Linked DNA regions of Danio rerio. The main gene of each other region encodes a partner of the protein of the gene in region 2 in a complex. Links are inferred from orthologs where the notes say so. Each region holds a gene or a part of one and is shown on either strand. Other genes may lie near its edges. The genes, in order: mysm1 and kat2b.

Region 1 (4,311 bases), on a different chromosome or scaffold from region 2:
TCAATTGCAAGTAGGCCTGTCACAATTATTGATTTTTCATCTCATTGTGATTATCTAAGACAACTATGTGAACTGTGAAATTTAAACTTGAAATAATGTGCAATGTATGTAATAGTCAAAAAATACACTCTTATATTATCCTTCATATTATGGCAAATCTTTCTTATGTATTAAAGAGAAAGAGAAAACTGAAATGTTGCCATCATTTTTAAACTTCCCCTTGTTCCAAACCTGTTTGAGCTTTTTTTCCCTTTTTTTTTTAAACACAAAGGATATACTGAAGAATTTTAGGGTGGAAAACAGCCACTGAATTTTTAATTTTGTTTCTACTACGGATGCCAATCACTGCTTCTTTCCCACATTCTTCAAAATATCATATTTTGTGTTCAAGAGAAGAAAGAAATTCATAAAAGATTTAGACCCACTTGAGTGCATGTAAATGGTGAGAAAGTTTTTTAGAAATTATTGCATGTATGTATACCAGTACACTGCTGTTTGTCTTCCATGCGGACTGTAAATACTGATCCTGGAGAATCTCAGCACTGCTCAGGTCACTGTGAAGACAGTATACAAACATACACTGTTGAGACTACAAAAGAATAAAACATCACAAATCACAATACCACACAATTTACATGTAAAATTGATAATGCCAATATACAACACAATACAATCAACTCTACGGTAATCTAACTAAATACATTTCCAATATTTTTATTCAAGCTATTTATTGCTTTTGCACCTCAGATGGCAGTAGTTTAGATTCTTATTGTTATGCCATGGTTTCCCCCATGCTGTACAGCTGAATTGGGTGGGCTTCAATGTCCATAGTGTATAAGTGTGTGTTTGTGTTGCTGAATGTTTCCCAGAGATGGGTTGCAGCTGGAAGGGCATCCGCTGCGCAAAAATGTGCTAGATAAGTTGGTGGTTCATTCCGCTGTGGCGACCCCGGATTAATAAAGGGACTAAGCTGACAAGAAAATGAATGAATGAATGAATGAATGAATGAATGAATGTTGTTATTATTTTTAAGCTCACTAGTGGTTGTGTAATAATTTCTGTATTTGACTTTGTATGTGACAAATAAAATTTAATTTGAATCTATTCCTAAAATATAAACCAATATCCAGAAACATTTATATTTAGATCTGAATTTTAATGATTGTTTTAATAAAAATATAATTTCCTATAAGACAAATGATGGCGTAGTTGTGTGTTTGTGTAATAAAAAAAGGTTAAAAAAGTACAAAATATCTGCAGAAATGCAGTTGAGAAGTGACTGTAAAAATGCTGTATAATTTATCATATGAAAATGTATATTTCCCTATATAATTAGTATGTAAATGTTTGGGGTCAGGAAGACCCCAGGATCCTTACTGTGATTTCTTTTCTTGGCTGCTCTATGGTTAAAGGGAATCAGAAAAAGCCAGGTATCAAAAAAAAAGGTACAATTTAAAAAAAGAAAAGAAAAAAAAGACCCACCATTATAATAATAATAAAATGTAAAAAAATACATAGGACACTAAAAACCCGTTCTAAATAAATATGTTTTAAAAATCCTGTAAAGTGCTTTTAAAAATAGCATTTTTTAATTAATGTTTGACATAATCTCAAAGTAAAAATTAAGAGACGGTGTAGGGAAAAAAAAGCTAATATTGTTTTTGTTTTATCACTATCTCAACCGCTCTTACTGGCAGAGCTAAGCACATCAAATGAGAAGCAACTTGAAGGAGGCAAGGCATGATTGTTGCTAGATCAGATAAGGTTGTGGCCGGAAGTAAACAAGAATTAGTTATATTGTTTATTAAATTTCGCATTTATTGTATTTTATTAACATTTACCCCCTCCACAACCCTAAACCCAACCGTCACAGTTCTGTAAAAATATTATTGTTATACAGTGTCATAAAAAAATGCTAATATATTGATGTGTATTTCGCCACGTATCCAATCTAGACCTAACAGGGCATGTCAGATACTACAGAGCATTTGATTGAACAGAAGATTTGATGAGAAACTCAAGTATGAGGTGACGTGAAAAAGAATCATTGATTCATTTAAGCAGAAGTGACAAACTGCAAGCTTTGGATGTTTATATCAGTTTTATATTTCTAAACTCAATTTATGTCACTGTTTTGGAGCTAAAACTTTTTATTTTAATTTCACGGGACCTTTAAGAACAGACTTGAAGACTCAGATATGAAGAGTCACCTGTCTAATGACAGTAATACAGTTTCTAAAGTTATACTGAGTAAAAATTACACCATACAAAAATTGCTATATCTAACTTTACCAGCTGTTAAAAAAATGTAATCAATTTGTTTAAGAATACTGAATACTTTGCTTAAACAGGGAAAGTAAATGTATCGCACTAGTGTTAGGTCGAGATGTAAGAATTAAAAGTATTGTAGTCAATCTTTACAATCTTCAGTGAAGTCTCGCCCAACATACTAATACTGCAGGTGAATTAAAGTAAAGGCGCCTTGTTAAACACAAAGAAGGCAGATTTTTAATTATTTTCTAAAATATTCATCAGCTTTTTTGTAGTGAAAAGAGCAGTAAAATAAACTGCTATGACTAATGTGCTATAACTGTTCTTGCAGATCACATTATGTTAGTGCATAAGTATAAAAAAATAAGCTTGTAATACTATCTTAGCAACAAACATGCTAAAATAAAGTAACTTATGAAATATGAATAATGTAAGTTAACTGTTCAAATAACTGTTCACATAACTAACGTTACAGCAGCTCACATTCATCCTGTCAGCTTTGCTGTCTCGTGTTTTTCCCTCGCCCATGGAGTATATTATGTTAAAGCAAGCGTCGGTGATGTTTCCCAGAAACATGGAAATGAGAGAATAAACTCCTACCCGACGATTTCATCACATTCATCTCCCTCGATGTCAACAACATCCAACTCATCAGCCATATTTGTGCCGGAAGCAAGAGAGGAGAGCGAGTGTATGGAGAGAAAAGTGACTGATACAGCGCCTCTCACTGGTAGGAGGGCGATTATGATACTCTAAAATTGTATTTCTCCTCTAGTTCAAGGTGTTCATTCATTCATTCATCCATTCAATTTCTTTTAGTCCCTTCGTCAATCTGGGGTTGCCACAGCGGAATGAACTGCCAACTTATCTAGCATATGTTTTACGCAGTGGATGCCCTTACAGCTGCAAATCATCTCTGGGAAACATTCATACACACCGAGAAGGGTCTGAGACAGCATCATGTCTGCATCTAGACTCTGTTGTACACACTCATACACTACAGACAATAGCCTACCAAATTCACCTGTACCGGATGTCATTGGACAGTGGGTTACACCGGAGCAAAAACAAAAATTAAAATTGATGCGATTTAATAAAGCAAAACAGTTACCTACAATCTCATTTATTCATTTTCTTTTCAGCTTAGTTGCTTTTATTGTCTATTTTTATTCAGCTCTGATACTTTATTGTATTATTTTATTATTCTTTTATTTTATTTATCACATGTTTGAGTTATTTTTAGTAGTTTCCGCTGTGGCGACCCCTGATTAATAAAGGACTAAGCTGCAGGCCTATAAAGAGAATAAAAATAATAATTAACAATTGAAGAAACAACTAATTACGCAAGCAAATACATTACGATTGTCAGCTGTCTACACACTGATAACCCTGATTAATTGTCCAAACAGGGTTTTTATTGGAAGTTTGGAGGAAATTATTTTTTTTTTATCACTTATAGCAGTTTCAGTTGCTGATTCACTAAAATCAAGAATGTCCTACAAGAGCAAAGGTGTCAAACTCAATTCCTGGAGGGCCGGAGCCCAGCACAGTTTAGTTCCAACCCTGCTTCAACACACTTGAACTATAGGTTTTAAACAAGTCTGAAGGACTCCATTAGTTTAATCAGGTGTGTTTAATTAGGGTTGGAACCAAACTGTGCAGAGCTGAGGCCCCCCAGGAACTGTGTTTGACACCTGTGCACTGTACTAGAGAATAAATAGAGCTTGCTTCCATATATATATGTTAATCTTTAAACAATAATGTGTTTTGTGTTATTTAGTTGCTTTTTTTAATATTGGTACTACAAAAATTAAACTAACAAAAGTAATTTAAATGCGATCAGAGTTTATGAAGGAGCTCTTTTTTTGAGCCACCAAGCGCCCCCTAGATGTATAACACGTTTGACGTCATTGTAAACAAACAATGTCATTGGACGATCAGTGAAAACGTATTACGGAAGTCTGGTAAAAACTGTAAACTGGTAAATACTGACACGTGAACTTACAGATTTGTGACATTATTCGACTCGTTTCCGTCAAT
Region 2 (3,829 bases):
AAGGCTACATTGATTCATAAAGTGATTTCAGGCTCTCAGGCCCCATACACACAGCAACAGATTTAGGTAAATCCACAAAACGTCTAGCCCTATTTATAGACAAAACACCCTTTTTAGAAAAAGGGATATCACAGTACCACATGACCAGAAGAAAGGAAGAAACCCACTCATAACAACCAGGACAAAACAACAATGGCAGATTAAAGCAATAGTATCTGGCTGCAGCCTTTATGATGCAAGCTGAGACTGCATCACTCAGCGATGCAAAGTTAGACACAATGCACTCAAATGGAGTTAGTGAGGTCACTGTGACGGGTAGGGTTAGGGGTGGGGTTAGGTGAGCCCATTAAAAAGCATTGGATGCAGCCCAGATTGCACTACACCATGTCTGGAGCCAGACCCATCTCGATTAAAGAGCTGTGTTTATTAGTGCTATTGCAATACAACCTTCTAATGCTCTATCAACTAGATCAAAGAAGCTTAATCTTGTTTTCTGATGATCTACCTTCCTGCAGAGTTCAGCTCCAATCCTTATAAACACAAATAACCCGCTAAGGCCCCCACTAATACATTTTAGTTTTAAAACGACATTTTAGAACGTTAACGATTCACGTCCACACTGGCGTTCCACATAGCGTTTCTGAAAAAATCTCTGTTTACACTAAACCACTCAAAATGCACATCGCATGACCACATATAATCTGGCATGCGCTGGAGCATATGTGGACATCTGAGCTCCAGGCATTCGGCAAGTGCTTTGAGCACAGCTCCCCAGGTGAGAGCAGTGCAGGTCGGACAGTTAATCAAGGATCTTCTGCTGGATTTCATCTCACTTTAATTGTCAAAAGTGATATTAAATTCATCTTGTCTCTATTTAATGGTCTATTGAATCTATTACTTTTTCTCAGCTAACGTGTTTTGGCTGAGCACAAAGATAAGTTGATTACAAGTACGCTTATAAGTACACTGATTCTGCACATTTGACAAGATTGCTTGCTTTTATTTCCCATATTGTATGAACTTATTGTGTGTTATACTTTTGAAATGGCAAAAGAGTCAGGGTGTTTCATATTTTTCACAGAAAATGAAAAGAGGCAGTTATGTTCTAGGCTCCGTTTTGTAATGAATATGCATACAGCGAAGATGACGGACACGATATATAGCTACAGGACGCCTCAAAATTTTTGGTGGCTGTTAAGTTAATATCAAAATGAAAATAGACAGTTCCTCATATCATGTTTTTATTTTATGGTTAAGAACGTAGCCAGAGTGATGCGAATAACATTATACAGTACATTATTTTTACCCGACGAGTTTTCAGGAGTTTGTTTTTACATATCCAACTTGCAAAGTCTGAACTTAAGGAAAGGATGCAAGATTGAACTTTGTGCACTTAATATTGAGGAAAAAAAAAAACAATTAGATAGGCGAATGTCTGCAGCCATGCCTCCATTTTCAGATGTGTACATTTCCCCCCATCCACACTGACATGGAGCAGCAGTGTTTCCAAATGAAAATGGCCTCTTCAGCAAAACGCTTAGTTTTCAGGGCTCACACACTCCGGGGTAGTATGGACGGAAGGCGTAGCAAAACTTATGAGTTTTAAAACTAAAATGTATTAGTGTAAACAGGACCTAAGCAGGATCTGAAGGAGCACCAGGCAATTAAAGTTGGGTGTGCATGATTAAGGTTGCAGCTAAACTGGAAGGCAGATCTTCAGGAACAGGATTGATCACACCTGAACTAGATGACCGGTGGAGACACATCAACACACATCAGATATTTGTAAATTGACAAAAATGTCTTGTTTATGTCTTTACACAGAGTGCTGAAGAAGAAAAACTTCATGAGCATTCCTCTGTGACTTTATTGTGTCCTGCGGCTCTGTTTGTTTAAAGTGCCACATAGAGTTGTAGCATACGTTTTACACAATTTTAAACCAGTTTTTCTGTTGTCGTCATGTATAGAGACAAGAAAATAAGGTAACACTTTAGTTTGATGGTCCATTTGAGTATTAGTAGCCTGTTTGCTTAATTTCTGCTGATAGTGTTACTACAACAGTCATTTAACTGACTATAAGAAACTTTGCAAGTACATGTCAACTTACACTAACCCTAACCCAAACCTAACAATCTACTTATAATCTAATGAGAATTAGTTGGCATGTATATGCAGTGTAACTTAAATTCAACAAACGGATCATCAAAATAAAGTGTGACCAAAAATAAAATAAAATAAAAATTGCCTCATTTATAAAACGTCTTATAAAATAAGTTAATACCTGGATTGGGTTCAAGGACAGAAGCTGTTTTCCGGGCCGGGCTAACACTTCCTCCTCCAGCCAGCTCCACTGGTGCTGGACTGCTGCTGTAGTACAGGGAGCGATTCACAGGTGGAGCACTAACCACTGCACCAATCAGAAAAGAGAAAGGTTTGTTTACATAGCTATCCCACATAACGAAATATAAAAAAACCCTTTAACATTCACCTGTTGGAATCTGTCCGCCTGATAAACCAATCATGAAGTTTTCACTCCAGATGGGCGAATTATGACTATAAACCTCTTCCTCCAGCATAGACAAAAACCTGGACACAAACAAACACATACACTCATATTCACACAACATCAGTTATTTGTGGAGGCTTCTGGCACTGTGTTGTGTGCTTACTTGGGGAAATGTGTAAGAATGAGTGTGCGTTTCTCAGGTGGTAGTTTGTCTTTCTCCTGGCGGGCCTGTTCCAGCAGCTGCTTTCTCATTATGGTGAACACAGAGCGCAGGAAAATGCGTCCAAAAATCTGTGTGGCCTCGTACCTTGGGAGACTGTCACAGAACTGGGGCACGTTACAATAACACAGCCACCTACGACACAAACACACGAAAAGGCCACAAACGTGTAGTAAATGTTTATGCATGTAAACAATCTGGAATTTTACATAATAAATGTTATGATTTATGTTTTCTTTCTGTCTTTTTTTTTTACCCTCCTCTCCGTTTGCTCAACCCTTAGGTTTCTTATTGGTTTATTATTCTGTCCATCATCATTATGACGTTCTCCGGTTCCACCAATCCCAGGACGAGCCGCAAGGATTTAAAGCCCTGACAGACCAGTGTGTGTGTGCGCTCTGCCTCGGCGTACCCTTTTGTGCTCCACGCAATTTGTTTGTGCAAATGCTTCGTCTATTTAGTGATTTATCTCAGTTACTGTGGTAATTTGAGTTTGCTTGTTGAACTTCGTTGGCTTTGAGTAACATAATATGATGGTTGTTGTGTGATTCTAAACTAAGCTTTGATGGACTTATCCGGTTTGTTTTGTTTTAGTTTAAATTGATGTTTTGTTAGATTAGTTTGAGTGTTTTGCCACCCGTGTATTTTGAGTTTTGTAGTTTAATTAGTTTAGTTTGGGTGTCGTATACACTGAAGATCTAGGTTTTTATTTTGTGTTTCTTTTTGACGCCTAGTTTAGATTTTAGATTTAAGGATTGCTTTGTTTTGTTAATTTCTTTGATTTGGCTTACACTCATTGTTTTTGTTTAAAGATAATAATTATAAATGTTTTTTTTCCCCATTTATTATTGTTACATGTTTCAATTATTAAGTAAAAAGCTTAAATAAGAGTAACTGAACCTTGCCTCATTCTTGATCTGTCGCACACATTACACCTGTGTCACTTAAATATTACAGCATCCCACTTTAACATCATAAAACACGTAACATTTAATTGGTGGCAGCGGTGAGATTATTTAAATTTATCTCTTTATGGGATGAAGTGAGACGATGTGTGTTTGACAGCGGATCAATTTTGAGTTTTGAGTGAATGAAGATTAGTG

The links.
Region 1: kat2b (region 2) and mysm1 share a complex: the UniProt entries of both Homo sapiens proteins name them as parts of the large chromatin remodeling complex. The link is inferred for Danio rerio from reciprocal best matches to the Homo sapiens genes KAT2B and MYSM1.

What each region holds. Positions count from the first base shown.
Region 1 is NC_133195.1:9,285,477-9,289,787, forward strand, and holds the start of mysm1 (histone H2A deubiquitinase MYSM1), read right to left. Parts: upstream 2,946-4,311; 5' UTR 2,931-2,945; coding exon of another isoform or gene 2,872-2,930; 5' UTR 2,755-2,871; intron 555-2,754; coding exon of another isoform or gene 482-554; intron 1-481. UniProt on the Homo sapiens protein: Metalloprotease with deubiquitinase activity that plays important regulator roles in hematopoietic stem cell function, blood cell production and immune response.
Region 2 is NC_133194.1:23,134,240-23,138,068, reverse strand, and holds part of kat2b (histone acetyltransferase KAT2B), read right to left. Parts: intron 2,862-3,829; coding exon 2,670-2,861; intron 2,587-2,669; coding exon 2,489-2,586; intron 2,408-2,488; coding exon 2,282-2,407; intron 1-2,281. UniProt on the Homo sapiens protein: Functions as a histone acetyltransferase (HAT) to promote transcriptional activation. Has significant histone acetyltransferase activity with core histones (H3 and H4), and also with nucleosome core particles.